7 linked regions of the Ovis aries genome follow. The protein of the gene in region 7 binds, or shares a complex with, the protein of the main gene of each other region. Links are inferred from orthologs where the notes say so. Each region holds a gene or a part of one and is shown on either strand. Other genes may lie near its edges.

What was found.
Region 1: NUP85 (region 7) and CETN3 share a complex: the UniProt entries of both Homo sapiens proteins name them as parts of the nuclear pore complex. The link is inferred for Ovis aries from reciprocal best matches to the Homo sapiens genes NUP85 and CETN3.
Region 2: NUP85 (region 7) and NUP93 share a complex: the UniProt entries of both Homo sapiens proteins name them as parts of the nuclear pore complex. The link is inferred for Ovis aries from reciprocal best matches to the Homo sapiens genes NUP85 and NUP93.
Region 3: NUP85 (region 7) and NUP153 share a complex: the UniProt entries of both Homo sapiens proteins name them as parts of the nuclear pore complex. The link is inferred for Ovis aries from reciprocal best matches to the Homo sapiens genes NUP85 and NUP153.
Region 4: NUP85 (region 7) and NUP214 share a complex: the UniProt entries of both Homo sapiens proteins name them as parts of the nuclear pore complex. The link is inferred for Ovis aries from reciprocal best matches to the Homo sapiens genes NUP85 and NUP214.
Region 5: NUP85 (region 7) and NUP160 share a complex: the UniProt entries of both Homo sapiens proteins name them as parts of the nuclear pore complex. The link is inferred for Ovis aries from reciprocal best matches to the Homo sapiens genes NUP85 and NUP160.
Region 6: NUP85 (region 7) and NUP188 share a complex: the UniProt entries of both Homo sapiens proteins name them as parts of the nuclear pore complex. The link is inferred for Ovis aries from reciprocal best matches to the Homo sapiens genes NUP85 and NUP188.

The regions. Positions count from the first base shown.
Region 1 is NC_056058.1:87,599,433-87,604,058, forward strand, and holds the start of CETN3 (centrin-3), read right to left. Parts: upstream 3,200-4,626; 5' UTR 3,073-3,199; coding exon 3,056-3,072; intron 1,077-3,055; coding exon 941-1,076; intron 1-940. UniProt on the Homo sapiens protein: Plays a fundamental role in microtubule-organizing center structure and function. As a component of the TREX-2 complex, involved in the export of mRNAs to the cytoplasm through the nuclear pores.
Region 2 is NC_056067.1:24,469,130-24,473,084, reverse strand, and holds part of NUP93 (nuclear pore complex protein Nup93), read right to left. Parts: intron 3,811-3,955; coding exon 3,671-3,810; intron 656-3,670; coding exon 523-655; intron 1-522. UniProt on the Homo sapiens protein: Plays a role in the nuclear pore complex (NPC) assembly and/or maintenance. May anchor nucleoporins, but not NUP153 and TPR, to the NPC. During renal development, regulates podocyte migration and proliferation through SMAD4 signaling.
Region 3 is NC_056073.1:39,077,466-39,081,420, reverse strand, and holds part of NUP153 (nuclear pore complex protein Nup153), read right to left. Parts: intron 1,137-3,955; coding exon 965-1,136; intron 290-964; coding exon 205-289; 3' UTR 1-204. UniProt on the Homo sapiens protein: Component of the nuclear pore complex (NPC), a complex required for the trafficking across the nuclear envelope. Functions as a scaffolding element in the nuclear phase of the NPC essential for normal nucleocytoplasmic transport of proteins and mRNAs.
Region 4 is NC_056056.1:5,558,077-5,562,031, forward strand, and holds part of NUP214 (nuclear pore complex protein Nup214), read right to left. Parts: intron 2,572-3,955; coding exon 2,389-2,571; intron 1,445-2,388; coding exon 1,359-1,444; intron 1,260-1,358; coding exon 1,176-1,259; intron 1-1,175. UniProt on the Homo sapiens protein: Part of the nuclear pore complex. Has a critical role in nucleocytoplasmic transport.
Region 5 is NC_056068.1:76,456,155-76,460,109, forward strand, and holds part of NUP160 (nuclear pore complex protein Nup160), read right to left. Parts: intron 2,778-3,955; coding exon 2,617-2,777; intron 1,370-2,616; coding exon 1,309-1,369; intron 512-1,308; coding exon 401-511; intron 228-400; coding exon 104-227; intron 1-103. UniProt on the Homo sapiens protein: Functions as a component of the nuclear pore complex (NPC). Involved in poly(A)+ RNA transport.
Region 6 is NC_056056.1:7,472,400-7,476,818, forward strand, and holds the start of NUP188 (nucleoporin NUP188), read right to left. Parts: upstream 3,190-4,419; 5' UTR 3,178-3,189; coding exon 3,146-3,177; intron 1-3,145. Other genes in the region: DOLK (dolichol kinase), read left to right, coding at 3,589-4,419. UniProt on the Homo sapiens protein: Component of the nuclear pore complex (NPC), a complex required for the trafficking across the nuclear envelope. Required for proper protein transport into the nucleus.
Region 7 is NC_056064.1:55,594,640-55,598,594, forward strand, and holds part of NUP85 (nuclear pore complex protein Nup85), read right to left. Parts: intron 3,769-3,955; coding exon 3,699-3,768; intron 2,544-3,698; coding exon 2,422-2,543; intron 1-2,421. UniProt on the Homo sapiens protein: Essential component of the nuclear pore complex (NPC) that seems to be required for NPC assembly and maintenance. As part of the NPC Nup107-160 subcomplex plays a role in RNA export and in tethering NUP96/Nup98 and NUP153 to the nucleus.

The sequences.
Region 1 (4,626 bases), on a different chromosome or scaffold from region 7:
AGGCAGATTCTTTACCAGCTGAGCCACAAAGGAAGCCCATAATAAAGGAAGAGCTGATCAAAGCTAGGTAACTAAACCAGAGGGAAAGTAAGCTAAAGAGCCACAAGGATGCTACCTCACTCATTGTGCTGAGTTTAAGATCCAAACTATCTTAAACACCAATTTCCCCTTGATTATTTATAAAAAATTCTAAAACTTAAAACTGATATTTTTCCCCATTAGCACTGCATCAACATCAGACACCACTTATATCATCTGAATAAGAGAAAATAGGTTGAGACTGTTACTAACATGTTTAAATTAGAAAACAAATAACACTGCCTCAATCTGAGAAATGAATGAGTCATAAAAAAACAAAAAAAAAACATACAATAGGAAGAGGAATATGGTTAGACTGTTTAAATCCTTCAGTTTCAAATATTTTAATTATGTGAATGAAAAATAAGCCCCTCTATAGGAATATATTTTTACATTTAAAATATTATTCATTTTACCATGTGAAAAGGAGTTTCTAAAAAGATACAAGTACTACTCAACTTTTGGAGAAGGCAATGGCACCCCACTCCAGTACTCTTGCCTGGAAAATCCCATGGATGGAGGAGCCTGGTGAGCTACAGTTCATGGGGTCGCTAAGAGTCGGACACAACTGAGCAACTTCACTTTCACTTTTCACTTTCATGCATTAGAGAAGGAAATGACAACCCACTCCAGTGTTCTTGCCTGGAGAATCCCAGGGATGGGGCAGCCTGGTGGGCTGCTGTCTATGGGGTCACACAGAGTCGGACACGACTGAAGTGACTCAGCTTAGCTTAACAGTAAATGTTTAAAATGGTTTACATTTCCAAAACCAGTTCAATTAAAATATTTAGAAATGCATTTTTAATCAGTGGACAAAAATGCAAAATGTTTTAATAGAAAAGATATATTTTAAGTGTATTACCTTTAATTCATGATAATCTATTGCTTCATCTTTGTCTGTGTCAAATAGTTCAAAAGCATCTTTAATTTCTTGTTTCTGTTCTTCAGAGAGTTCTCTTCTTTTTTTCCTCTTTGTTTTGTCTACTACAAGGTCATTTCTATGGAATGATAAGAAAAAAGTCTATTTAGTCCACTTTAATCCTATTGTCATATGCTTCTAAATGATAAAATTCCAAAAATGCAACAAAAAAATTAGCCAATGAATGTTTTAAACTTCTAAAAAGTATTTTATAAAAAATTTCCTTACATGAATCAAAGCCCTGCTCAATCCATTGTCTAAGCTGCTTTAAATTTGTACCTCCCTAAAACTGAAAAGTTTTACAGTTTTAAAAGGTTATTAAAAGAAATGAGGACCTAGCTTTTCCTCTTCCTAGCTTTGTATTCATTCCCACTAATATTACTGTGGAAGAAACAAGAACTGTGAAAAAGAAACAGTTCTGTCAGAAACCCCAACAAAAAACAAACACCCATACTTATTCTCATCATTCTACAATACAGACTGTTTTAAAAAATAAGAATTCAATTCACAATTGTTGATCTCTATATATTAGGTTTACTTTCATAGTGCTTAGAATTATCAAAATTATTGCCAAAAAATCTAATTCATCAATTAATTTACAAACTATTTTGGCACAGTTTAGACTAGTATTTTTAGACTACACATTTTAAACTGGCACTTTTTTGTAATTTCTCCCATTGATATTAACAAATCAGCCAAAATAATGAACGTAAGCATACCACGAATATCAAACACCAAAAAAGTACTTAATATTTGTGGTATTTTATTTATATATAAGGTGAAGAGTCAACTGTCTCATAAATCTCAGCATGTACATCTAGACAGTTTGTCACAAACTCTGAAAAAACTTAAAGTACAAAACGTAATTTACTCTAAAAACTAGAAATGTATTCCTTAAGAGGTGCCAATATAAGCATTTCAAATTTTCATATGGGGCTTACAACACTTGTACAAGCTTTGAAACAAGAATTCTATAAACTTTAAAAATGTAAAAACCAGTTGACTTTTCTTTAATTCTGTGAAATCTACTCTAAAAAGGCAAGAGATGACTAGAAAATGACCAAATGAGGTTATGATAAAGCTCTTTCTTTCACAAGAGACCTGAATTCACAAAAACTTGGAAACTCCGGGGGTTATTCTCTTCCCAAGATTCCGACCAGACCAAAGTTCACAACCCACCGACAGTAGACCTCATTTCCTCGTCAGAACTCGCTTCCTTTTTACTGAAGCGTAACTACATAAACACTTTTAAGGTAAAACTTTTAGTTGTGGTTGGGAGAGGGAGCAACAAACAGTGGGTTAGAGGTTGGAAATGAATGAAAAGTAAAATCAGAAAATTTAGGAAAGCTAAGAGATTACCAACTAAAATCACTAAAAGGGGCCTCTGATTATACCCTTTTGCAGGGCCCCAGGAGAAAGAGGAGAGGTTTTGCGTTGTTTCCAAAATTTACGGGTAAATATGTTAGTAGGGGGCTTCCCAGGTGGCTCAGTGGGTAAAGAATATACCTGCAATGCAGGAGACGCAGGTTTGCAAGATCACCTGGAGGAAGGCAGGGCAATCCTCTCCAGTACTCTTGCCTGGAGAAACCCACACCCAGAGGAGCCTGGCGGGCTACAGCCCATAGGGTCACAAAGAGTCTGACACGACTGAAACGACTGAGCACGCATGTTAGCAGAAAGTCGGCCGAGATGGAAGCCGTGGACAAGGCACTGAACCAAGGGATGCTCCAAGGCCTGGTTTCCCGGTTTCTCGCATAAACACCGCGCATTGAAACCTCGCGATATTTCCCTGCCTCCTCAAGACTACCTCAGCCCGGCTTTTTGGCGGTCTAAAGCCAGTGCCCTGACAGAAATGACCGCCTCAGCTAAAGTGCAGAGCTCACCAGGGCCCCCAAGGGGAGGGGTCTGGGCCCGGGAACGTTGACCAAGGATCCCGTCCCTCGTCCCAAACTGCATTCCCTTCCTCGCTTCGGCCCCCAGCTGTTTCCCTTCCACACACAACCGCCCTGGGGCCCGCTGCGAGGTGTGGAGTGCATCTGCCGTCTCCTCATTACCGACCTCAGAGCTAAACTCATTTTCTCTTCGGACTGAGGCGTTCCTCTCGAGAACGATTTTAACCCCCTACCCAGAGCAGCAAGACTTCCACAAGCCGTTCGACAGACGCCAACGACCCTCAGCGGTCTCAAAAACCTCCCACAAAGCAAGACACTCCTGAGCTGGATTGGTTGAAATCGCTAACGTCCTGCCCATTGAGGCGAAAGCGTCACTTGTCCTCTGCTCTCATTGGTCTTATTTCACGTCAATCAAATAGATCTCCCTGCCGGCATCCCCTGCTACGCCTCTCCCCCTGTAGATTGGCCTGTTGCTTTCCGCCCCACCCCCACGCCCCACCCCAATCCTAGAGAAGCTAGGACTCAGGTGGGAGGTGGCGAGCTATGCTTCTGACCAGAAAGGCTGTGGCATGTGGCCCAGTGTCCGGAGACCCGGTGGAAAGGGAAGGGATGAGATACGCCGCAGGCTCTCCTCCGGCTAGAAGGAGGGAGCGGCTTTCGAACTGTGTCTGCGAAACTTGACTCTACTGTATTGTACATTTTTGGATGGTTTGAGTACATGGGGAGTGTGTTTAAAACGCAGATTTAAATATCACTCATTCTAATTTCTAGTAGGTGTGAATCTGCATTTTTTTATACAAACTTCAAATGATTCTGAAGCAGATACTGCGGATTATATTTTGATAATCACTGAGTTGGATTATTAGGCTATTTAAGGTTGAAGCTGTACCTAAGGGCCATTTGCTCCCCTATTCCTCCTTTGAACTGGTTTGTTCGTTTTTGTCCTTTATTTTCGAGTGCTGTAAGCTGCTTATACTCATGATGTTATCTTCACCACCAAACGAAGTCTCTTAAAGCTCACTTGGACATTTAATATCTTTACTGTTCATCTCTCCTACTAATCTTAAAAGGCTTATATCCTTCATTTAACACTATTCCTAGTGCCTAAAACAATGTATGATTCGTTGTAAATGTCTGATGCCTCTGCTCCGTAGATATTTGTTGCATTAAATGGAATCTTGCTGTGAAAAATCGCAAAGTACTGAGCTAAACTGCAAATCTCAAAAAGGAATGAAATAGCCAGAGAGTAGGTGTCCAGTAACAGAAGAGGGAAGATATTGATATATAAAACTGTGGCATAAATATAAAGAGATACATGTACACGTTTAGAGAAGAGAGAGAACACAGAAGGTATAAGAAAGACTTCTTGAAGGAGATGGCATATATGTTAAGCCTAGAAGGATGAGCTAAATTTGGGTAAGTAAAGATGGTAAAAACATCCACTTCCACTTTATTGACTATGCCAAAGCCTTTGACTTTCAGATCACAACAAACTGTAGAAAATTCTGAAAGAGATGGAAATACCAGACCACCTAACCTGCCTCCTGAGAAATCTGTATGCAGGTCAAGAAGCAACAGACTGGTACCAAATCAGGAAAGGAGTACGTCAAGGCTGTATATTGTCACCTGACTTATTTAACTTATATGCAGAGTACATCATGAGAAACACTGGTCTGGATGAAATACAAGCTGGAATCAAGATTGCCAGAAGACATATCAATAACCTCAGATACAATG
Region 2 (3,955 bases), on a different chromosome or scaffold from region 7:
CCCTATCCGAGACCATTGGCTGGCGAGCCCCTACTCTTCAAGCACTAGTATGGGCCTCACTTCCCGCAGAAAGCCAGCCTCCTGTGTATTCCACCACCCTCGGTACACAGATCTGGTTCAGCACTCTGCACACAGCAGGTATCTGAACTGTGAGCTGAGAAGAAAGGCACTTTCTAGGAACCATATCTAACTCTGTTGTGCTAGCTATTTGAGTCAACAATCTCAGAAGTCATCCCTGACTCTGTGGCTCACACCCATAGCCGAATTCTTCCACCGTCCCATTGGGTCCACTTTCAAAACACGTCCAGAAACCAATGACATCAACCCCCTGCACCCTCCTCCTCCACCGCCATCCCCTGGACTCCTGAGCCACCAGCCTTTCCAGGTCTCCTAGGTTCTCTTCCCGCCCCCTCTGGTCTCTTCTTCATACAGCAGTTTCCACACATTACCTCATTTCAGCTGAAAATGCCTATCTCAGAGACTGACCTGGAGGAGTAACTGATCGCATAAAGGTGCCAGTACCTGAAGTCCAGGCAAAGGAGCTGGAAGTTTAATGTTGAGGAAACTTCGAACCAGTTGGTAAGTCCCTGGCACTCCGCCCAGCTGGGCCTGATGCAAGTTTCCAAAGACAGTCACAAGGGTGTAATTCTTATAACTGGAAAAAATTTGAAGGCACAAAAAAGGGAGGCGAGTTTGAAAACACATCTTACACGTATCTGTGTCCAGACCCACAACATTAGACTGTGAACTCCACATGGCAGGGCCTGGACTTCAACTGAACACAGAAGACGAAACAGAAGTGCATGCTTAATGAAGCAAGCTACATTATTGATTTGGTGGGTGGTGGATCTCTGTGAAGACTTCTTATCACTGTGGATACTCAAAAGAATTCCTGGAGCCACATAATTGTGAATTTCAAATGCAGAAGGGGCTGCTGTGCAGAAAAATAAGTGCTCCGCTCACAGCCTAATGCTCTAGTGGATCTTCTCAAACTTTTTACTTTGAAAAATTTTAAAGCTACAAAAAATTAAAGAATAGTTCGACGAGTGCTCAGTTGCCCTTTACTTACATTCGTCAGTTAATATTTACATGCATGCTCTTCCCTCTCTCACACATACATTTTATCTGAACTATTTGAAAATGTTATAAAAATACAGAAATCAGGTGCCACCTAATCTGTAAATGAAAAACTTTCAGGTGCATCATATGCACTAAAATGTTCAACATCAGATTAAGTATAATAGCAGACTGAGAGAGAGACACACACACACACCTCTCAGAGAAAAACATCTAAATGTCAATTACAGAAAACAGACTCATCAGAAATTGATGTAGTTTTAAAAAATGATACTGACAAAAAATTTTACAAGCAAACTATATAAAACCATATATTGTACACACTGGGATCATAAGCTATGTAAAAGATAAATATCAAACAAAATATTCATATGTCCCAGAAAGGTGGTGGGGTTGGGTGTGGAGGTGGCGGTAAGGAAATACAACAAGGTACCAGGAGCCCCTGCATGTGAGAGGGGGGGCTGCTCCTTTTTTCAGGTCCTCTTTTTGGCATCTTTCAAAATTTCTATAATAATCATGTAGTATTTTTATGATGAAAAATAAACATAATTTGATTTAACAAATATGAGTTCTCTATCACTGGGAGTATTTAAAAGCAGAGGTTGGAAAAGAGATTAGATAAGAGCCCTGTGGCAACTGGGACAAACAATGCCCATTATGGTCTCTTCCAGCTTGAATGAAGACAACCGACATGCTGGAAAGGGCCTAACTTCCTTGAGAGCTAAGAAATGCTACCTTGCTTCAAATTTGAAATACTCAAAAAATAATTTGGGGCCAGGCCTGCTTTGCCATCTGGTGTATTACATCACTTGAAACACTGGGACTTCCCTGGTGGTCCAGTGGTGAAGACTCTGCCTTCCAACGACAGAGGTGCAGGACCAATCCCTGGTTGGGCAGCTAAGACCCCACATGCTTCGAGGCCAAAAAACCAAAACATGAAACAGAAGCAATGCTATAACAAATTCAATAAAGATGTTTAAAACGGTCCACATCAAAAAAATCTTAAAAAAAAAACAAAACTGTATGTTATCCTCTCAGTGGATTAGTACCAGCAAAAATATTTTTTTAAGTGAGTACAGTTATCTGAAATATTCCCTTTATCAAAAGGGACAACAAATCCTTAAAAAAGATGTCAAGAGAGAGATGCTGTTAGAAAAAGAAAATAAGCATATAATAGTTGTGCACAGGAAACTCCCGAATAGCTCCAAGTGCTGCTAAAGGAATTAATGGAACAAGATCATCCTAAAAAAACTAAATGAAAAGAATAATAGAAGAATTGGGATGGCTTACATATATAAAATCCCAAACTGCAACCTGGTATCTCTGGTGAAGTCAAACACCAACAGTGAGAATTAGGCTTACTGAAGAAAAAGCAGTCATATACTTAATCCTTAAAAAAAACCACCCTAATATTGTTTATACACTGTGAGAAATTTTTTGATTCATATTTTGCTAACTTGTAGCAAATAAATACCACTATATATATTAGGTTTTTCATGGCTGAAGACTTAACAAAACTTACATTATAAAAATTGAGTGAAAGCCTGATGTAATACTTTATGAACTCTTTGCGCCTGTGCCAGAAAAAATGAAACACCATTTGCAGTTTCAGATTTTTCTTAACAAAAGAATGGAGGCTAGTGAGTTTAATATATCTGATGGTGTTCATCTTGTGTAGCTATTAAATAATTTAGTATTTGATATAAAAATCTGTTCTCTCTCTGCAGTATCAAGTCTTGAATTACCTTGACTTCCTAACAGAGTATTATTTTGTTGACAGAAGGTGACCACACAACAAGGCCACTGGCAGCTGCATGGGTGCAGAGGCAAAGAGCTGCAATTGAGCAAGTGTATGCAGCCTGCCTTTCTCTTCTCCAGCCAACAGAGAGAGGCCCAGCACCCTGTCTCTGAGATAAAGAGGGTCTACTGCACACTCATGACAACACCTGCTGGTCAATTCAGAGCTGGGAGGAGTGTCCACAGGGCGTGGATGAATGGCACAGCCCCTACCAACTACGGGGCCAACAGTCAAGGCACAAGGGTACAGCCGCAAACCCCTGTGACCGACTCCAATTAGTGAGGAGGTGGCAGAAACCTAGGCACAAATCAGAGGCTTTAGCAGCTGGAAGGATCTGAACTCACAGGATTAACCAAGCAGAGCCAGAAGGAAAACAAAAGCTCAAGGGGCCTTCCTAGGGTTTGGAGGTGGTAAAATGCCGGGTGGGAAAATTAAAATGTTGAGAGAAAACCAAGAGCCTGAGGAGTAATGGCTGAACCCCACGAGGGCCCAGGATCCTGACCCAAGGCATTGTGCCCTAATAACCCTGTCTCTATACTGAGGGACGCAGGGTGGAGAAAGACAGAGAGAAAAGCCTAAGAGGGCTCAGGGCTCCCACTCACGTGATTTTACACCTGTGCAGAGACAGTTCCCATAGAGAAGTGCTCCTAAAAACAGCGCAACATCTCTCAGACTTGCTCAACCTTGTTTAAATCACACCAGCTCCAGAGCACTTATCTAGAGAACCACTTCAAACAGGGGAACGGCTACCTTCAGGGGATTTTAAAGGCAGCCTCTGTGCTGCCGCCGCCTCACCTCTGCTCCAGGTACCCCAAGGCCTGCCTGACAAACTCCATGCGCACTTCCACGCTGTTGCGGCTCTTCAGGGCGTCAGTCGCTGGCACCAACAACACATCTGTCATTTGTTTCACCATGGCCCACATGTCGGAGATGTTCTGCACAGAAACAACACTGCATGTGACAACGCTGTGGGGCTGCGCAAGCGGCCTGGTTCTCCACAGTGCTCTGACGTGGAAGGGGCTGAGGTTAACGTCCTATCTGCAGCCCTCAGGCTCAAGCCCAGCAAAGAAGATGTGCCTT
Region 3 (3,955 bases), on a different chromosome or scaffold from region 7:
AGTCACCAGTCTAGCTATTATTTTTTTAAAAAGGGGGGGTGGGAGAGGTGAAGTTGGGCTTCTATAAAGAAAAAAGGAGGAAAATTCCCAAATTAAAGAAGTCCTTAGGCAGATCTGACTTCAGATAACCCAGTATTATAGTACAATCCAGTATCTGAAAGCAGTGCACCAGCTGTTAACAGTGTGTGTAACACACCATGACCTTTATTTCTTGCGTCTAACAGCAGTCTTTATCTTTCGACCAGAAACCGAAGTTCCAGAAGAAGAGAACATGTTTTTCCCATTTGACCTGCGAAAAATAAAAACTCTGTAACGTGACATGATGCTCACATAAAATCTCACAATCATAACACTGTGTGACTGGTGATGGGGGGTGGGGAGACAGTGTTACAGGAAGCACACTGTTACACCGCATACCTACACCTACACACACACACACACACACACACACACACACACACGGGGGGTGGGGAGACAGTGTTACAGGAAGCACACTGTTACACTGCATACCTACACCTACACCTACACCCACACCCCCACCCCCACACCCCCCCCCATGCTCTTTTGCTTGATAGTAATACGGTAAATTGGTGGAGAACATACTTGATTTTACCTCAACTATACTGCACCTGGAGAAGGCAATGGCACCCCACTCCAGTGCTCCTGCCTGGAAAATCCCATGGACGCAGGAGCCTGGTGGGCTCTAGTCTATGGGGTCGCTAAGAGTCGGACACGACTGAGCGACTTCACTTTCACTTTTCACTTTCCTGCATTGGAGAAGAAAATGGCAACCCACTCCAGTGTTCTTGCCTGGAGAATCCCAGGGACGGGGGAGCCTGGTGGGCTGCCGCCTGTGGGGTCGCACAGAGTCGGACACAACTGAAGCGACTTAGCAGCAGCATACTGCACCTTGATGATTCTAAACACACACACACGCACATATCTCAACAGAAAGTTCTCTTACCCCACAGTAAACGCTGCTGAAGCCTGGCTAAACTGAAAGCCGCCTGAGCCAGAGGGCTGGGCTGAGGCTGCAGGTGTGCTGGGACTCGCACCAAATGTGAACACTCCTGACGGATTGTTGTTGGTGAAGTTGAAATTTGTCGCAGTGCTGCTGCCAAACTGGAAAATGGAACCTGAAATCGTTGAAGCAGAAAAACCTCATTAAGGTAAAAATGATGGTTTTCTAGTAATGACTCTGACTTTTACATACAAAAACATGTGAAGGGTTAAGTTCTCCTATGGTCACTTAAAAAAAAATAAGTAATTTCTCTACAGACAAAATATATATCTGACACCCTCCAACAAGCGACCCAACTCACCCGTGACCAAGGGGAAAAAGGGCTGAGTGACTTCTGACTGAGATTGTGCAACCAACATATTGAGCGCTACCTTTTCCAAAACTTATGTTAAAATCACAGTAAGGGGAATTTACAAAGGTAGGGAGAGAAAGAGACAACAGAACAAAATTTAGAAGCTGGAAGCACGATGGGAGCCAAATACTAAACTGGTAGCAAGAGAAAGCACAGAAGGCATTCCATTTACACTAACCATCTCCACAAGGTTTAGGTTCCAGGTACTTCTGGAAGTGAGAACGAAGTCTGCTTCTTAAACAGTTACTCTACCATCCTGCCTTGTTTTTTTGTTTTTTTTCTTTTCTTTTTTTCCAGTAACTGTTTAAGAAGCAGATACCCATATCAATCCCTCCCCAACAAACAGGATGAGAACTCTCCTCCTCTACCTAGCAGAAGTACAGACTTCTAGTCTCTGGAGAGGCCTCTGGACTGGGGCCCATCACACACAGAGGCAAGGATACCTACTGAAAATAGAAGGACTAGGAGCAGGCTGAGTATAACGAATGCTGAGAACTGCAGCCTTCCGCCCTGACTCAGCTCCCAAAACACTGGCAATCACGAGGATTTATGCCCTTAAGACAGGAGGCTTCAAGAACCTTCTCTGCGGAATGTGACAGCCCAAAAGGGGAAACCTAAAGATACTAACATTCAGCTCTTGGCAAGAGGACAAGCCAGTTAGAGAAACCTACAATGATATTAAAATTAAACCCTTTGCCCAATGGGCAAACAACCTGAACAGAGATTTCTCCACAGACAACACATGGGCATATATAATAAGGATGCTCGACCTCAGCAATCATCAGGGGGAATGCAGATCAAATCCACTAGGAGATATCATCTCTCAGAACAGCTATCGATAAGAAATAGCAAGTGCTGGCAAGGATGTGGAGAAAAGTGAACCCTTGTGAACCGCTGGTGGAAAAGTAAATTGCCACAGCCACTAAGGAAAACAGTATGGAAGCTTCTCAAAAAGTTAAAGAGAAAACTACCATATGATCTAGCAATCCCATTCTAGGTATTTACCCAAAAGACTTGAAACCAGGATCTCAAAAAGGTATCTGGACTCTTATTCACTGCAGCATTATTCACAATAACCTAAGTAGAAACAACCCAGACATCCCCAGACAGACGCACAGATAAAGGAAATGACGTGTCCACATAAAATGGAATATTAATCTTGCAATTTGAAAAAAACATGGACGCATCTGGAGGACGTTAAGTGAAATAATGCATGAGTTCACTTCTATGAGGAATCTGAACTAACCAAATTCACACAAGCTGAAAGAACAGGGGCTGCAGGGAGAGGTGGGGGTGGGGAGATATGAAGAGGCGCTGTTCAGAGCAGGTGTAAACTGTCAGTCATGCAAGATGCTCAGATTCTAGAACTCTGTCATACAACACTGTGCCTACAGTTACCAATACCTGTGCCTCTGCTGATGAGTAGACACAACTCATGTTAAACATTATTACTACAATTTAAAATAAACAAAACCCAAACACTATGAGTAAGAGGCAAGAAGCACCAGACATCTGAGGAAAGTATTTCGTAAGAAACACTAAGACTGAAGCAATAATAAAAAAAGCAATTTGGAGAAAACAAAGCAAAAGCTATCAAACGGAAAAACAAAACAAAAACTCACTGTTAATATCCTCAAGAGATCAATAGATAACACATCTAAAACAAAAGCAGAAGGATATAAAAAAGAACATCGATGGAACAATTTCCACTAAGAAAATAAGCAATACATGCAGAAGTAAAATCTCAGCAGGTGTGTTTCAAGATAAAATTGAGGAAATCTTCCCAGGAAATACAACAAAAAGTAGGAGACAATGGAAAAAAATGGAAGATAAAAAAGAATGAGGTGCAAAATCTCCAAAGAAATAATTCAAGAAAATTCCCATGAAAGCAGCTTATAATAAATAGGACACACGGCCTTCCTAACATCATCCAAGGATAAAATGGATCCAGACCAGGAACATCCTCATAAGCAAAGCACTGGAGGCAAAAAAGTACTCTAATGATGCTCCAGAAGGAAAAACAGACCAAAAGCAAAAGTAAAGAGACTGCAAGAGCAACTAACTCTGGGAGCTAGAACATCCACAATGGGAAAATGCCCTCAAAATCATTAAAAAAAAAAAAAAAAAAAAAGAGTAATTTCAATTCTAAATATATATTGAAACAAAATCTTACCCAACATGGGGGCAGAATAAAGATCTTTCCAGAAATATAAGGTCTCAAACTTTTCTTCCCTGTGTCCTTAAGATATCATGGGAAGATGTATTCTCCCAAAACAAGGGCATAAGGAGGAAAAAGATGTGACACTCAGGAAACAGATTCCTTTAAGAGGAAGCTAGAGGGAATCTCCATTAGAATGGTCATTAGAATGGTGACTTAGCATCACCTTGACACCAAAATCAGACAAAGATATCACAGGAAAAGAGAATTACAAGCCAGTATCAATGATGAACATCAATGCAAAAATCCTCAACGAAGTATTAGCAAACTGAATCCAACAATACATTAAAAGTATATACCATGATACCCAGAGATGCAATAATTGTTCAATATCCACAAATCAATGTGATACACATCAAAAGAC
Region 4 (3,955 bases), on a different chromosome or scaffold from region 7:
ACTGTCTGTGTATTGGAAACACCAAAACCAAGCAAAAAACAGCCCCCTCGCCTCCTCAAGTTATTTAAAAGTATTGCTAATACTTACTGACTTATGTGTCCTGTGGGCGCATCACTCTGCAAGATTTTATGTATCATAATGCGAGTGTAACATGGGCTTCCCTGGTGACTCACTCAGTAAGGAATCTGCCTGCAACGCAGGAGACCCAGGTTCGATCCCTGGGTCGGGAAGATCCCCTAGAGAAGGAAATGGCTACCCACTCCAGTACTCTTGCCTGGAGACTTCCATGATCAGAGGAACCTGGTCCGCTGTATGGTTCATGGGGGTGCAAAGAGTCAAACACAACTGAGCAACTAACGCTTTCACTTTTTTCAAACATAATATAAACAATTGCAAGTGAAAACCACGCATGGGGACTTCCCTGGCAGCCACAGCCAAAAGAATTTTTTAAATTAAAAAACGCTGTACTAGGGCTACTGCTAGGTGGCAATGTCAGTTTGGTAGCCACCAGCCATGTATGGTTATTCAGATGAAAAACAAATGAAAAATTTGACCTCTAAGTTGTACCATCCCCCTTAAAGCACCCAATGGCCACCAGTTAACTGCTGTATTGGACAGTACAGATCCAACACCACAACCACGGCAGGAAGTTCTACCGGGCAGCACTGTACCAAAGTGTTCCGAGGCAAGTCAGTGTGCAGCACAGTCCCTCAGAGTCCATTCATAACTACCTGCGCCTGCACGTTCTATGTCTGCATCTCTCATCAGAGTAGCCACTAGTCACGCGTGCCTGCTGAGCAGGTCTTTTTTCAAATGCAGCCTTACTCAAAATCCGACACAAATCAGAAAAGTAAAGCTTTCCCAGCTAAAGCGAAGGCTAGGACCCCTGGAACCAGTTCAGCGTCCCCCCAAATCCTTGGCAATCACTGCCATAGAACCTGAGGACTATGGAAAACACAGTGTGAAAGCCGAAACTACCACCTCGAGTTGACTATGCATAAGCTTCTTCTTAATCCCATATTCAGACGGATGACAGATTCTAGAGACACTTCCTCTATCTCCCATTAAGAACCAAAGGAAAACACACACAGACACACACACACACAAACCCCATCCTACTCCCACACAATGTACTATACAGTTTATCCTAAAAATTCAGGACCGGGTTCCTCTACCTGGAGCAGTGGATCTCACTGGGGGGGTCTTCCTTTTGGCCAAGAAATTTCTCAGTTGTGCCTGTTTCACGGGGGACAGTTTAGCTGCAAGAAATTCGTGAACCCATAAATGCTTAAAACTTGGTTTTTAAGGTCAATAGATGAAAGAGAACAGAGTTTAAAGACTGGGGAGAATGCATTTACCTGGTACTTTAGGCAACGGTTTGGGGTGAGACTCTAGAGTCGTTTTCAACAAAGCATTGCGCAGGCTTTCGAGGTCACTGTCAAAACTGAAAGAGGACAATGTTACGTATGAACCAACTATGACCTGAGAAATTGGGACTCATGGTAATGGTGATGGTACATTATCCTCCCAAATACAAAGGCAAGAGATAAGAGCATCCTGAAAAGGAAATGGAAAATCTGACCAAACAATGAATTAACCCCAAAGGAAAATGATCAGTCTCACTATCACATCCCACCCCAGAGCAAACACAACCCCAACAGGGCTCCAGAAGGAAGGGCAATTAAAATCTATACATTCAGGCTAAAGGCAGTTACCACTTTGGTAACTTTAGGGGTAAACTGTCTAAGGCAGGGTCTGAAATCTCCACACTTGCAAAATGACAACTCTGAGTTTCCAGACAAGTTGATCAACCTAATCCTGACAGCTAATTTTCAATTGAACAATAATGCTATGACTACAGTACCAGCTATTATCTATCGAGGGCCTGTTCCATCAGGCACACTGCTAGGTACTTTAAAGACTTAAACCCTCCAGTAACCCCATGAGGTGCACATTGTTAGTTCCCTGCGTGCACGCATGCTCAGTCATGCCCAGCTCTTTCGCAATCCCACAGACTGTAGTCTGGCAGGCTCCTCTGCCCATGGGATTGTCCAGGCAAGAATACTGGAGTCGGTTGCCATTTCCTTTTTCAGGGGCTCTTCTTGACTCAGGGATCAAACCTGCGTCTCCTGCATTGGCAGGGGGATTCTTTACCATTGAGCTACTTGAGAAGGCTATTGTTAGCCCCACTTTTTGGCAGAAGGAAAAAGGATCAGAGAGGGTGAGGAATCTGACCACGATCACAAAGATGAAAGAACAGCAGAGTCACTTTCAAACCCACATCTCAACTACTCTGTGACTAGTCCACTTTGCTCTGTGTATTTATTCGCTCATCCCGCCTCATTTACTAAGTGCACGTGGCATTAACAGACGTGTTCTCCTGCACACCTGTGTGTGGTGCTCTGGGAGGGAACATCCAAGGGAAGGCTCCAATGGGAGGTCTGGTTGTAAAGTCGGAGCTGCTGGAGACTATCCACCAGGTGATTCAGCCTCTTCCTCTGTTGGTTGATGATTTCCCGGTTGTTGGCAAGAGTATTAAATAGTGTCTCTCGTTCTGGCACAAGCAGGCGCCTGTTTAGACCAAGGAGGAAAGAACTGTATAAGAACGGTTCAAATAAAAGAAATTTCTACTGGAAAGAAAGAAAAAGGACTGTAACAGTGAAAATAATAAAATGAAGAACCACTAGTGGGAAAGAAACAGCAAGACGTTACTAAGAGGGACTTTTTTGGTGGTCCAGTCATTTAAAATCCACCAGCCAATGCAGGAGACAAGGGTTCGATTCCTGGTCCGAGAAGATTCCATGTGCCATGGAGCAACGAAACCTGTGCTCCGTAACAAGAGGAGCCACCTCAGTGAGAAGCCCGAGCACAACTAGAAAGTAGCTCCCACTGTCCACAACTAGAGACAGCCTGTGTGCAGCAATGAAGACCTAGCATAGCCAAAAAACAAACTAGTCAATTTAAAAAATAAGCATGTCTTCAGAGTGCCGTCAAGAAACAGAGGACAGCACATGACTTGGCAGCAGGGGGTCCCCTACCCAAAAGAATTAAAAGGAGAAAAGGACAATGGTCCCTTTCTTTCTGGTGACAAGGTCATTAGCTCAACATATATTTTTAAAAGGCATTTCAGTGGGGTTCCAGATAATATTTGGAGAAGGGTCTAAAAGAGAGACGTGCCAGCAAACCATATAGATTTAAGAATCAGAACTCCGAAGAAAGGAAACTTAAAAAAGGACATTAAGTATAAACAGAAAATCCATGGGGTTGTTTAAAGGAGAAGAAAGCCTGGCTTTTCTTGTTAGCCTCACGCACTTTTTAAAAAGTCAACGTATTAATTAGACAAGAGTATTCCAACTGTCAAGCCGAGCAGAACGTTCATGCTGTCAAGTCAAGCCATTCTCTCACTTGGGGAGGAACATGAATTTAGCAACAAGGGAGTGCACTCTGAAACCTCTTAGAAAGGGGCCAGGCTGCCCCAGGGACAAGGGCTCCAGGGCACAGAATCTGCCCCTGCCAGTGTTGGGAAGATCAATTTTCACCTCTGTCTTACCACATCTATGCTCTGAGGTTCCTCAGGTTAGGGACAAAGACTTTCTCCACGCTGTACAATATCATGTATTAAATTCTGTTTACTGAATTTTAAACACATTCTACCCCTGCCCCTGACACAACACTCAGGCTGCCCTACTTAAGTCTGTGACCTCACAGTTTTGTAAACAAATAAACAGATCATTTCCTGGTTTATTTCCTTACAAGGCTAATCACACTGATCAAGTGTAGGTGTTTCAGAAATCTAGCATTTGGAGGGCTGACCTATTTTTCACATCATCTTATTGCTTTCACAATGTACTGCATTCTATTCCTTCTGGAAAACACAAGGCATCAAACCAAACATCCATGGACAGAAGATCACAAGAGAAGGTTCTTCTCTATGTTATCATTCCTCTCATCCTTT
Region 5 (3,955 bases), on a different chromosome or scaffold from region 7:
ACAGTGAAGTAAATAGAAAATTAAGAATATTTTAGAAATTTAAGACTAGGAAATCAGACTATGTTAGGAAGTTAAGACTATAGAAAAGCAATTTTATACATACTTGAAAGCAAGTCCTTCAAAGACTGGCGTTAAGGGAAGCTTGAAAGTCTGACACAGTGATACAGCAGTGTCAAAAAGGCCAGCCTGAACCAGGAGAGTGACCATCTCCTCTGCGGATGAACTTCCTGTGGAAGTGGAAACGAGCTATTTATTGCAACCACTGGACATGCCAGTGAACTGAACCCAAAGACCGTGCCCTTGGTGAATGCCCAGAATAACGACGACACACTCCACACCCACATGGCACACTATGTCTGCTGCCCGGGCCTGAAACGCACTGTTGGTGCCGAATGCCCACCTGCGACAGCAGCCGCCGAGGGGTCGTGCTGAGCCAGGGTGAGGCGAATGCGGGCCAAGGAGCACTCCTTCTCCAGATCTTCCAGTTCCAGGATTTCAATCTGTCTATTCGCTATAAGCCAAAGGAAAACACTGTCAATTCCCAGAGCACAAAGGAAGTGCCTGTTAGACAAACGCAACCCGTCAGCTTCCACTAAACACTAAGTCACTGTCCGTTTAATTTTAGGAAGATATGGTGAAAACAAGGGGCTCAATAAAACAAACAACCCTGCTTCACTCTAGAGCCGAGTCAAGTCAAAGCATTCTAATAACAGCTTCAGGGAGGCGCTTGCAAGGAATTAACTCTTACAACTGTGAAATACTGTCATCTTTATCAGTAAGGAACATGCCCAAAGTGAGAGGCAGGATTAAAGCCGAGTGTGTCCAACTCTAGAGCCCGGGCTCTTTAAGGAAGGGAATCGTGGTCCAAGACTCTGCTCCCACTGCGGGGGATGGGGGTTCAACCCCTGGTTGGAAAACTCAGAGACTACTTGCCTCGAGGCACCATCACGGAGAAAAGGAAAAAAAGAGAAGGGAAATCATGCCTCTATAGAGACACTAAAGGAACCTAATTTAAAAAAGTATACTAAGCTGACTTGAACACGACAAGCAACAAACACACACACACCCCTTTTTAAGGATTTTCATTTCACACACAGGCATACAAAGTTTTCGAAGGGCAGCCAGACAGAATACTGATAAGATATTTTACCATATGTTAACAAAGTAACTACCATACATATACAGTATACTATACTATGATTGTTCATACTATAATAAGTACCATATAAAAAACAAGTAAATATAAATACAACTAGTGTAACAATTAAGTGCCATTCAGTGAAAGTCAGCCTGAGATCCCCGACTCACTTGGGGCAGCTGTGCATTCTCCATCATGATTCCTTTTAGGGGATGCTCCAGGGCGGTCATACTGAAAAGACAAAGCAAGAGATTTAACTGTGAAAAATCAGTATTTTATTTTAACATCATTAACTGTGATCCAGGGCTTTCATGCTTAAATTTTCCCAGCGTAAATTATGTCTATTTCAACTAGCACAGCTCTTCTCACAAAGTTACTGGAACCTCTAGACAAAGAAACACGGCTCACTTAGCTAAAATTGTACTGAGTCCAAAGACACTGATTTGATGTCCATATAAACCATCTGACCTTCTTCGGTTTACAAAATTACATTCTTCACTCATAACCCTGGAAAACAGAACTATGCAGAAACTATACAAGTAACTGGGAGTACCCCAACAGCATGATAAAACAAATGACCCTCACTTATTAAATGACATACTTATTAAAACTCAAGGTTCACCTCCTTTAAAACAGTAACAATACATTAAATTAACAAAAATGAATGAAATAAAAACAGCTAGCATTTACTGAGCACTTTCTGCAGGCCAGGCACTGTCACTATTCTACGCAATCTTACATGGGTTATCTCATTTAATACCCAAATAATCCTGTAAGGTAGATATCATTATCATCATCATTCCTGTTTTATGCAAGAGGCTAACTGGACAATACAAGATACAGTAATTTGCCTGAAGTCAGGCTGTCTAATTCCAAAACCACTCTGTAATATTGTTTCAGATTATCTGATGATTTTGAACTGTGGTGTTGGTGAAGACTCTTGAGAGTCCCTTGGACTACAAGGAGATCAAACCAGTCAATCCTAAAGGAAACCAACCCTGAATATTCATTGGAAGGACTGATGGTGAAGTTGAAGCTCCAATACTTTGGCTACCTGATGCAAAGAGCTGACTCACTGAAAAGACCCTGATGCTGGGAAAGATTGAAGGTGAGAGGAGAAGGGGACGACAGAGGATGAGATGGTAGGATGACATCACCGACTCAATGGACATGAGTTTGAGCAAGCTCCGGGAGATAGTAAAGGACAGAGGAGCCAAGCATTCTGCAGTCCATGGGATCGCAAAGAGTCTGACATCACTTAGCAACTAAACAACCATACTTATTCCTACAGTAATTCTGAACTTGGAAACCAAAGGGGGTAGTAACATAAGACAAATGAATCACTGCAAAAAATAGATTAAGTTCACAAATATCCCAGAGGAAGTTTTAAATGAAATGAAGCAAAATGAGGTATTTTCAAAAGACCAAACAAAATAAGTTAAATTATCCCCAACTTCCGGCATACAAAATTTTCATACCACTGCACCAGATGCTGGCTGAACAATCCACGCGTATTCTGGGCGAATAAGTCGTAAGCAATTAATGGCAGCCAGATAACAGTTGCCTTGCTTCTCAAGTCCCCGGATAGTTCGAACCTCTCTGCCAAGACGCATTCCATACTCAAACATCACTGTGCCAGCTATGAGGCAATAACAGATACGAGGATTTCAAACATGTGTCTCTTTAGAGACACAGAGAAAATCTGTCACATTTACCAAATGTTAAAATTTAAGAAAAAAAATCAAGTTTAACTTAAAACAACAAAAAATCACATGTTGCCAAGAATGTGGACAAATTGGAACCCTTGTGTTGTGCTGGAGGGAATATAAATTGGTATAGCCACTAAGGAAAACAGTTCTTCAAAAAATCAGAATTAGTTTATAATTCACCAATTCTACTTTTGGGTGTATAAACCACCCCCTCCCCCTAAAAAAACCAACTGAAAGCAGAGTCTTAAAGAATTATTTGTATATCCCTGTTCATTGGAGTGTTATTCATAACAAACAAAAGATGGAAACACCCAAGGTTCCATCAAAATTGTTATCAATACATCCATACAATAGAGTATCGTAAATTCTGATGGATGCTACAAGATGGATGAATCTGAAGATGTTATGCTAAGTGAAATAGGCCAGTCATGAAAAGTCAAATGCTAGAGGATTCTGGTAGCCAAATCTGTTGACAGAGAGTGGAATGGTGGTTGCCAGGAGATGGGGAAGGAGGGAATGAGAAGCTGATGTTTAAGGAGTATAGTTTCCGTCTGGCAAGGTGAAAAGAATTCTGGAGACTGGCTACACGGTCAGGTGAAGGTGCTTAGCACTACTAAACATGTAAAACAGTTAAGATAGTAGTTTCTATTACATGTACTTTACAATCCCCAAGAAAGGCAGGAAAAAAAAAAAGTTCTGAAAACATCTAAAATGTTACTTTTCAAGTTTAGATACCACATACCCAGGTAGCACAGAACACTAGCTTGGAGAACTAGTTTCAACTCTGTGGTCACCTATCACCACCCAGGATCTGAGTGTCTGTTCAAGGTCATAAACTCTTTTTTTTTTTTTTTTTTCTGGCCGAGTCATACAGCACGTGGGATCTTTGCTCCCCGACCAGGGATTGAACATGCGTCCCCGTGTTGGAAGCTCGGAGTCTTAACCACTGGATTGCCATTGAAGACCCCCAAGATCATACTCTCATCATTGTTTTGAGACAGCATGGGACTCCAGAAACTAAACAGATTTTAAAATTCTCTTTCAGTTTTCAAACCAAATCAGACTGTTTTTCATCCCAACAAATACTTTTGAGTGCCTGGAATACGTA
Region 6 (4,419 bases), on a different chromosome or scaffold from region 7:
ATTTGCCTTCAGAACTTTAGCTAAGTAGGTAGCATTGATTCCCAAGAGACTCAGAATACCACCACCTGTACTCAAGGACCACCTGCCAGGATCCAGAATTCTTTGTTTACTCAAATCAAGCTGTGGGTTATTTGTTACACCAAAATCCATACAGTTCAAACAAACAATTTCCCAAAAGAGTGTTTCTCAGAATGAAGTTGGTCCTCAGGCCAAACAGCCAAATCAACTGAAAACAATACAGTAACATTGCAGAACCCTGGTCATTCCCAGAACCACACTTTCTCAGAGGTTAGGCTTGGGAAATCTACATTTTAAAATCAATTCCTAAATCACCACTGCTGGAGGGCATCAGTTTGTCTCAGAGGAGCAGGTCAAAGACCTGGTCAGTATAGATTTTTTTTTTTGCCTTTTATGTCTGACGAATCGGCTTTTTTGGGGGGTGGAGAGGGGAGAAAAAGATTCTGCTACAAAACAAGACTGAAGTAATGCAGTAACTTTTATACTTACTAATTAAAAGAAGAAAATAGCTATTTCTTTAGAAATATTCTCATTTGCAAAACCAAGTCATAGCATGGTCTTTTTGTTATAAGGTGTCAAAAATAATGTTTATTGAAAACAAGCTGGCTAACAAGATGAGCCAACATTTACTGAGCAGTTATGTGGGGGACCGTGCTAAGTCTTTAATGCTTTGTCTTACTGAATATTTCAACTGACCTATGAGGCAAATACTATCCGTATCATCTCATCAGGAAACTAAGGTTTCAGAGTGGTTAAGTAACTTCTGTAAGGCCACAAAGCTAATATTTAATGGAACCAGGGCTTGAACCTAGGCTTGCAAGACTCCAAAGTTTAATCATTGTAAGACAGGGCGTCAAGTTGTACCCAGGAATTCACTCTGCAAGCAGATAAAGACTGAGGTGAAGTTTTCTGTCCTACAGTGGTATATCATACTCTAATACCGGGGCTGGCACACAGCAGGCCACCTCAATGAGAAGCCTGCGCACCACAACAAAGAGTAGCCCCTGCTCACCACAACTGAAAAAAAAAAAAAAAAGCCCACACAAAAGCAATGAAGACCAGCAGAGCAAAAACTAACAAATCAATTTTAAAAAAACAAAACTCCAAGTCCCTTTCAGACCTGCAAACTAACTGGAACAGAAAAACTAGAAAAAAAAATTACATGCAGAAGTGCCAAGACATGGCAGAACAAAAGAGAAAACTGTAGCTTATCAGAAAGGAAATCATCCTAGAAATGAGTGTTACTGGCTCCTCAATTCCTACACATTTATGATCTAGGAATAACGGAAACCAAATAAATCTAAGACCTTCACGACACTCATAAACTTAGTGTTGGGAATGATAAAGGATGTTAAACATAACACATTCAGCTAAAAAGTAGAAAGTACCAAAGGGCAGGACCCTAACAATTAGACACTACAAGGAATATAACCACAAATGACAGAAAAGAGTCAGAGAAGACAGTGATCACTAGGAACTAACCCAGGGATTGAAGGAAGACTTCACCTCAAACAGACCTGGAGGTTTGAGCAGGTGATTCTCAAGACTCAACAGACAAGATTGGAATTGTGATGTCCAATTCAAGCCTCAGGGTAACATTATCTACATATACTTTCAAGAAATGAAATAAGTGCTACAGTATCTGTCATTTATTTGCACAACAAGTAAATAAATTTGAGATAAGTACAAACTAAGGCACAGAAATTAAATAATTTGCCTCAAAAGTGAGATTCAAAAAATTTATTGACTTGCAGCCCAATGTTCTAGCAGACAACATGGAACTCCACTTCTCTAAAAGCTGGAGTAGGTGGAAATAGGAAATAATCAGAGATATCCACGTGGTTGGAAACCTTTGGATGAAAGCAACTAAGAGATTGGAAATACCACGGAAGTAAAAATCCCTTTCATTAAAGAAGCCGCCTTGCCCTGCAGGAGCTAAACTTTACCCAAGATCCACAAGGACTGTAAGATAAGCCTGAGAAAAAGAAAGCACGGTGACCACGATGCTGCCCGACATAAGAGCTGACATGACACAACGGATGGAGGAAGAAGCAAACCGGTTCTCACAAAGTTCAGAAGCAGTTCAATGGACATTCCACAGATGAAAATCTCACTCAACAGAGAGGTGAAAGAAGCGACAAGTGGAATAAACATTTACTGAGAGTCTATTACTGCTCTTCTGGGTGTTGAGGCTACAGCAGTTAAGTGAAGAGGACAAAAAAGTGGGGAGACGTTGCTGGAACAAGGGGGAAAAAAAAGTGGCAGGCGCGGTTGGGCGGGACGGGTGGAAGGGAGAATGGAGAACACTTTGAAGCTACAAGTGAGAGATGCAAGTGCGGCGATCCGGCTAAAGCTTCCGAGTGGGACACTCCAGCTGGGAGCTGGGTTTGTGAGTCATCTGTAAATTACAAGGTGCCTCCCCAGAGTTGTGGGAGTTCAAGGAGATAACGCGGAGAACCAGAAAGCGCGTCGCCAGGGTTTGGCGCTAGTACGCTAGTAAGAACTGTCTTTTTAATATTTTCTCTTCCTGCCCTTTTAAAGCCCAGTAACAGCGCCCGGGATGCCGACTGAAGGAATCAGTGCAAGAGAAAACAACTAGATGGATGAATGAAAGAGCGGCGGAAAAGGGCAGAAACCGCAAGGAGGTGGTTCCGCCACTCGCGAAACAGACCTCCCGGCAAGAGCACATGGCGGAACCGGGGGAGAGCCCGCCGGGCACGGGAGGCTGCGGCGGGGACCGGGTGGGGGCTCCCCCGGGCAACCGCGAAGCTCCCCGTCGCGCCTCGAGGGAGCGTCACACCGGACAGGAAGCGCGGTGAGGGGGGGAGGGGGCGCCGAGGGACGCGCCGCCGGGAGAGGGGAGGGAAGGAGAAGGGCCGGGTGAGGAGACGGGAGGCCGGCGCCTCGGGAAGGGGGGAGGCGCCGGCCCCCCTTTCACAGAAGTCGCCTCATATCCCCGCGCGCGGGGACCGTTTGGCCGTAACCGCCTCCCGTCCCGGCGCCCGTACACCTAGCCGGCCTTCATCCTGCCACTGCCGCCACATCTCGCCCTCAACTCCCGCCCCGGCTTGCGCTTGGTTTGGACCCCGCGCCTCAGTCATCCCCGCCGACTCGGCCCGCTCCGCACCTCACACACGGACCGCCGGCGGCAGCCGCCATCTTCGCGCGCGCGCGCGCCCCCAGCCCCGCCCCCAGACGCCACGCCCACGTGACCGCGCGCTTCCAGGGCGTGGACCGGGTTTTCGTCACGTGGGTGCGGGGGCGGGGCCAACATGGCGTTGCCGGGAGAGGTGAGGAACCCCAGGCAAGCGCGGCCGAGGCTGTGAGGGAGGTGGCAGAGGGGAGACGTCTACGCCGTGAGTGGGAACTGGTGGAGGAAAGCCTGACGCCGACTCCCAGGCAGCATAGAGTGGCCTACAGTGGAGCTTCCTTTCTGGAGGAAGCTGAAGAACGGAGAAAGAAGGTGCTGGCAAGGCGAAGCTACCGCTGTCTGCCGGGCGGGGGTTAAAGGGCCAGAGTCCAAGGCATCCCTAGTCACCCCGGTTTTCCGTGGGTCCGGAGTCTAGAGACATGACCCGAGAGTGCGCTCCCCCGACCCCTGGGTCCGGGGCTCCGCTGAGTGGCTCCGTGCTGGCAGAGGCGGCGGTGGTGTTCGTAGTGGTGCTGAGCATCCACGCAGCCGTGTGGGATCGATACTCGTGGTGCGCCGTGGCCCTCGCGGTGCAGGCCTTCTACGTTCAGTACAAATGGGACCGGCTCCTACAGCAGGGAAGCGCGGTCTTTCAGTTCCGAATGTCCGCGAACAGCGGCCTACTGCCCGCTTCGGTGGTCATGCCTTTGCTAGGACTGGTTATGAAGGAGCGCTGCCAGGCTGCGGGGAACCCATATTTCGAGCGGTTCGGAATTGTGGTGGCAGCCACGGGCATGGCAGTGGCCCTCTTCTCCTCAGTATTGGCCTTGGGCATCACTCGCCCGGTGCCCACCAACACCTGCGTCATCTCTGGCTTGGCTGGAGGCGTCATCATTTACATCATGAAGCACTCGCTGAGTGTTGGCGAGGTGATCGAGGTCCTGGAGGCCCTGCTGATCTTTGTGTACCTCAACATGATCCTGTTGTACCTGCTGCCTCGCTGCTTCACCCCTGGAGAGGCGCTGCTGGTCCTGGGTGGCATCAGCTTCATGCTCAACCAGCTCATCAAGCGCTCTCTCACTGTGGTGGAAAGCCAGGGGGACCCCTTGGACTTCTTCCTGCTCGTGGTAGTGGTAGGCATGGTGCTCATGGGCATCTTCTTCAGCACCCTCTTTGTATTCATGGACTCGGGCACCTGGGCCTCTTCCATCTTCTTCCACCTCATGACCTGCGTCCTGGGCCTTGGCGTCGTCCTGCCCTGGCTGCACCGC
Region 7 (3,955 bases):
TTGTATCGCACTGCAGGTGACTGACTTTTTAAAAATGAAACAGAAAATAAAAATTACCAAAGTGCATCAAATAAAGCACTGATCTGTAAAAGTTTCAGTTAAAAGAAAAAGTTCTAGTTCAAATACTGGGTTAGCCAAATTTGGTTCAGGTTTTTGCATGCTATTTTATGGCCTGGGTTCAATTCCTGGTTGGGGAACTAAGATCCTGCTAGCCACGGCAAAAGAAAAGGAAGAAGAAGCAAGCCAAGGAAACACATGCTGCCCAGTCCCAGTCCCTTTCCCTGATTCCAAACACGCACATCCTGTTGCCAATGGCTCCACTTGGTTCACAGGCACCTTAACATGCCTCGAAATGAACACCGGGTCGCTTCCAACCCACCAACCCACATTCTTCTCTTTCTTACACATCCAATTCATTAGCGAATCCTATCACTGTACCTTTAAACTGCATCCAGAATCAAATCACTTCTTACCACCTCCTCCACTCAGCTCCTACCCGGGTCCAAGTTACCACCACAGCTGCCTGATTTAGGACCTGAGCCTCCAGGCTGGTCTCTCCGTTCTGCTTTTGCTCTATTCTCAGCAGTGCAGCCAGAAAAGCCTTTGAAAACCTAAATCAGGGACTTCCCTGCTGGTCCAGTGGCTAAGACTCAGTGCTCCCAATGCAGGAAGCCTGGGTTCCATCCCTGGTCAGGGAACTAGATCCCACACGCCGCAATTAAGAGATCACATGCTGCAACTAAAGAGCCTGCATGCCACAACTAAGACCCAGCACAGCCAAATAAGTATTTTTTAAAAGAAAAGGAACTCTAAGTCAGATCACAGTGTTCCTGTGTTTGACTCTCTAATGTCCTCTGTACCCCAGCTGACTCAGGAGTAGAACGGGAGCTCTACTGTGTCCATCAGCCAGGTCATACCTTTATCTCCTTCAGCTAACCGAATCAGAACAGCTCTGTGGGACAGGTGTCACACTCTCCAGGCCACACACGAAGAAACTAAAGGCAGTCAAGTGACTCACTAGAGCTCACAGATGGTAAGAGGCAGAGCTGGGATGCTAACCTGGCCAGCTTGGCACCACAGACCCTGTTCTTAGCATTCAACTACCCTGCCTCTCTGGGGCTTTCCTGGTGGCTCAGTGGTAAAGAATCCTCCTGCCAATGAGAAGATGCAGGTTTGATCCCGGGGTAGGGAGGATCCCCTGGAGAAGGAAACAGCAACCCATTCCAGAATCCTCGCCTGGAAAATCCCATGGACAAAGGAACCTGGTGGGCTATAGCCCACAGGGTCCCAAGAGTCAGACAGGACCAAGTGACTAAGCATCACCACCACACTGCCTCTCTAGGAGCTGAGCCCTCACTCCTCGTCACCTCCTCAGGTTCCTACTCACACGTCACCTCACAAGGGTGCCCTTCCTCGACTTTAATACTCCCAATTCCCCTCTCTTGCTCTTTCTCTCCAGAGCGCTTCGCTTTTACACATATTTTACTTGCTTCTATATTTATTTCCGGTCTCCCCACCCAGAATGCAAGTTCCGTAAGGGTAGGAACCACTGCCTGCTTTGGTCCTGGTTGTTTCCTCAGGGCCTGCACACAGCACCACTCAAATACACAGTGAATGAATCACACACTTAAACCCTAGGCCCAACCATTTCTGAACAAAGGCTCTCCCCTTTACCTGCACAGATCTCGGAGCACCCGAAGGCCTCAGAAACAGCATTAAAGGCAGCAGCTCTTTACCTGAATTTCAGATGATATAAGTCTCCAACATTCAAGTCAACCAGCAACCTCCGCCCTGGTCGCTCCATACTGGGTCATAGGTCAGTATAGGTGAATGGAAAAGTACTGCTCTCCCAGACATAGAATACACACACACACACAAACTTTCAAACTGACCATCCAAAATGACTGGGATCATCAATGTCTTTGTTTTTAATAGCTTTACTGATTGCAATGTACACCTTATAAACATTTACCTGTTTAAGTGTCTAATTCGGTGAATTTGAGTAAGTTTATGGAGTTGGGCACTATCATCACAACTCAGCTTCAGAACACATCTAACACCTCAAAACCGCCCTCAGCTCACTGACATCAAACCCCTACCCCAGCACCTATCCATCGGCTTTGCACTGTCTTCACCAAGTCTCATTCTTAGATCCACAAACAGATCAAAATTCCCTTCTCACTGTGAAGTCTACAAAGCATTATTTTTCTTACATGATAACTTAGTTCAAAACTCTCCCATGGAGCAGGGAAGAAAACACCTCCCTAAGCACGCCTCCCTAAGCACATCTCCATGATCACAGACTCAAAGAACAACACGCACACGGGTTCAGCAGGGAAACCCGCAGGCCAGCCCAGGGGCCCAGGCCAAAGAGAATACGAGGAGGAAGGCAGGGAGGCCCAGCACGCACAAGGGTCTTACCAAGTTCCAGAAGCTCTCGTGTTTGCTTGGATTCTCACTGCCCAGAACATCTGCTGACAAATTGTCCACCTCGCACACATGCAGTCGGACCCAGTCAAGGAGGTACAGGAGGAGAGGGCCAGCTGGGAGGAAACACATAAGCAGTAGATTCCACTTTCTCAAAGTACAGAGAATGTAGGGCAGGCGAGCGAACTATGGTGGAAGTGGTCTGTCCCTCTTCAGTGAGCGGGCGTGTGCTCCTGACAACAGGGCTGAGCTAGCGAATGGACTTCTGTGGGCACCTCCTCTGTGCCACGCAGCTCAACCTTTCACTGAATCGTTGGGGGCGCTGAACATGAGACCCAGATCTCACCAGCCCGACCACCCCCAGCTTCTTCACAACTACGCAATACTCGGTGACATCAGCAGTGGCCATATGGGGATGGCACTGACTAGGTGCCAGGTACACAAACGTGATAGAAAGACAGCAACAGTCCTCAGAATCTACTGGAAGAGGCAAGCAGACAACCAACCAATTCAATTTCAGGCTGCTCAGTGCTTGAGCAGGAGTTATGAATAAAAAGCTGTGACCACAGAGAGACTACTAATACACACTTATGGACAACAGTAAATACAAACCATTAGAAGAAAGCAAAAAGGCCTACAGCCCCTCCACAGAGAGCCCACTGTACTGCCCACAGGATACTGTACTGACCACAATCAAATTCAAGATCAAGGGAATAATTCAGAGTGGACGCATGAAGCTGTAGGGTTGCCCCTGACCCAATCACCAGCAAAGGAATTCTCTAAGGGATTCTGCCTTCCACCACCTAATCTTGCCTCACATCCGTACAACATTTTTCATTCTTAAAATTTTAAACAACAGAAATGTACTGTCTTGTGTTTCAGGAGGCTAAAAGTCTCTGGAGCTGGGAGGGCTGGTTCCCTCGGAGGCTGAAGAACCTGCACACACCTCTCCCGAGCTTCTAAAACTTTCTAAAGCTTCACCAGTCCATGGTATAAATATGGACCACCCCTTTCGCACACTAGTTTAATATCTGTTTCTTCATATTTTTTAGGGGTCACCTGCCTACAACTAAGGTTTTCAGAAGATACTCTGACTCTTTGCAGTATCTTGACAAAAACACAGGCTTCTTCAGGCATCCTGTAACACCTCCCAATGCTTATATTGATGAAAAGCAACGAAAAGAGCATTCTAGGCAACAAAACACTCAGCACAGCACAGGACAGGGTAGGGGGACACCTCTGCCGCTGTGACAAGATCATTCTGTGCTCACCTGGGGCTACTTCGATAAAAAGAATCTCACAAAGGTTCCAAATGAGTTCCATTGCCGACAGAATGGAGACCTAAGGAAGGAACAAGTTTTGACTGAAAACGTCCCAAAGATTTTTTTCCCCTAGAGCTAAGAAACAAAGCAGAGCTTGAAACACATGATGGTCATTCATTAACTCAACATTTATAGACTGTTCCTATGGTAGGGGTCCCCACAAGACAGTCAGAGAATTTTAGGGGGTGGGACACAGAATAATAGTT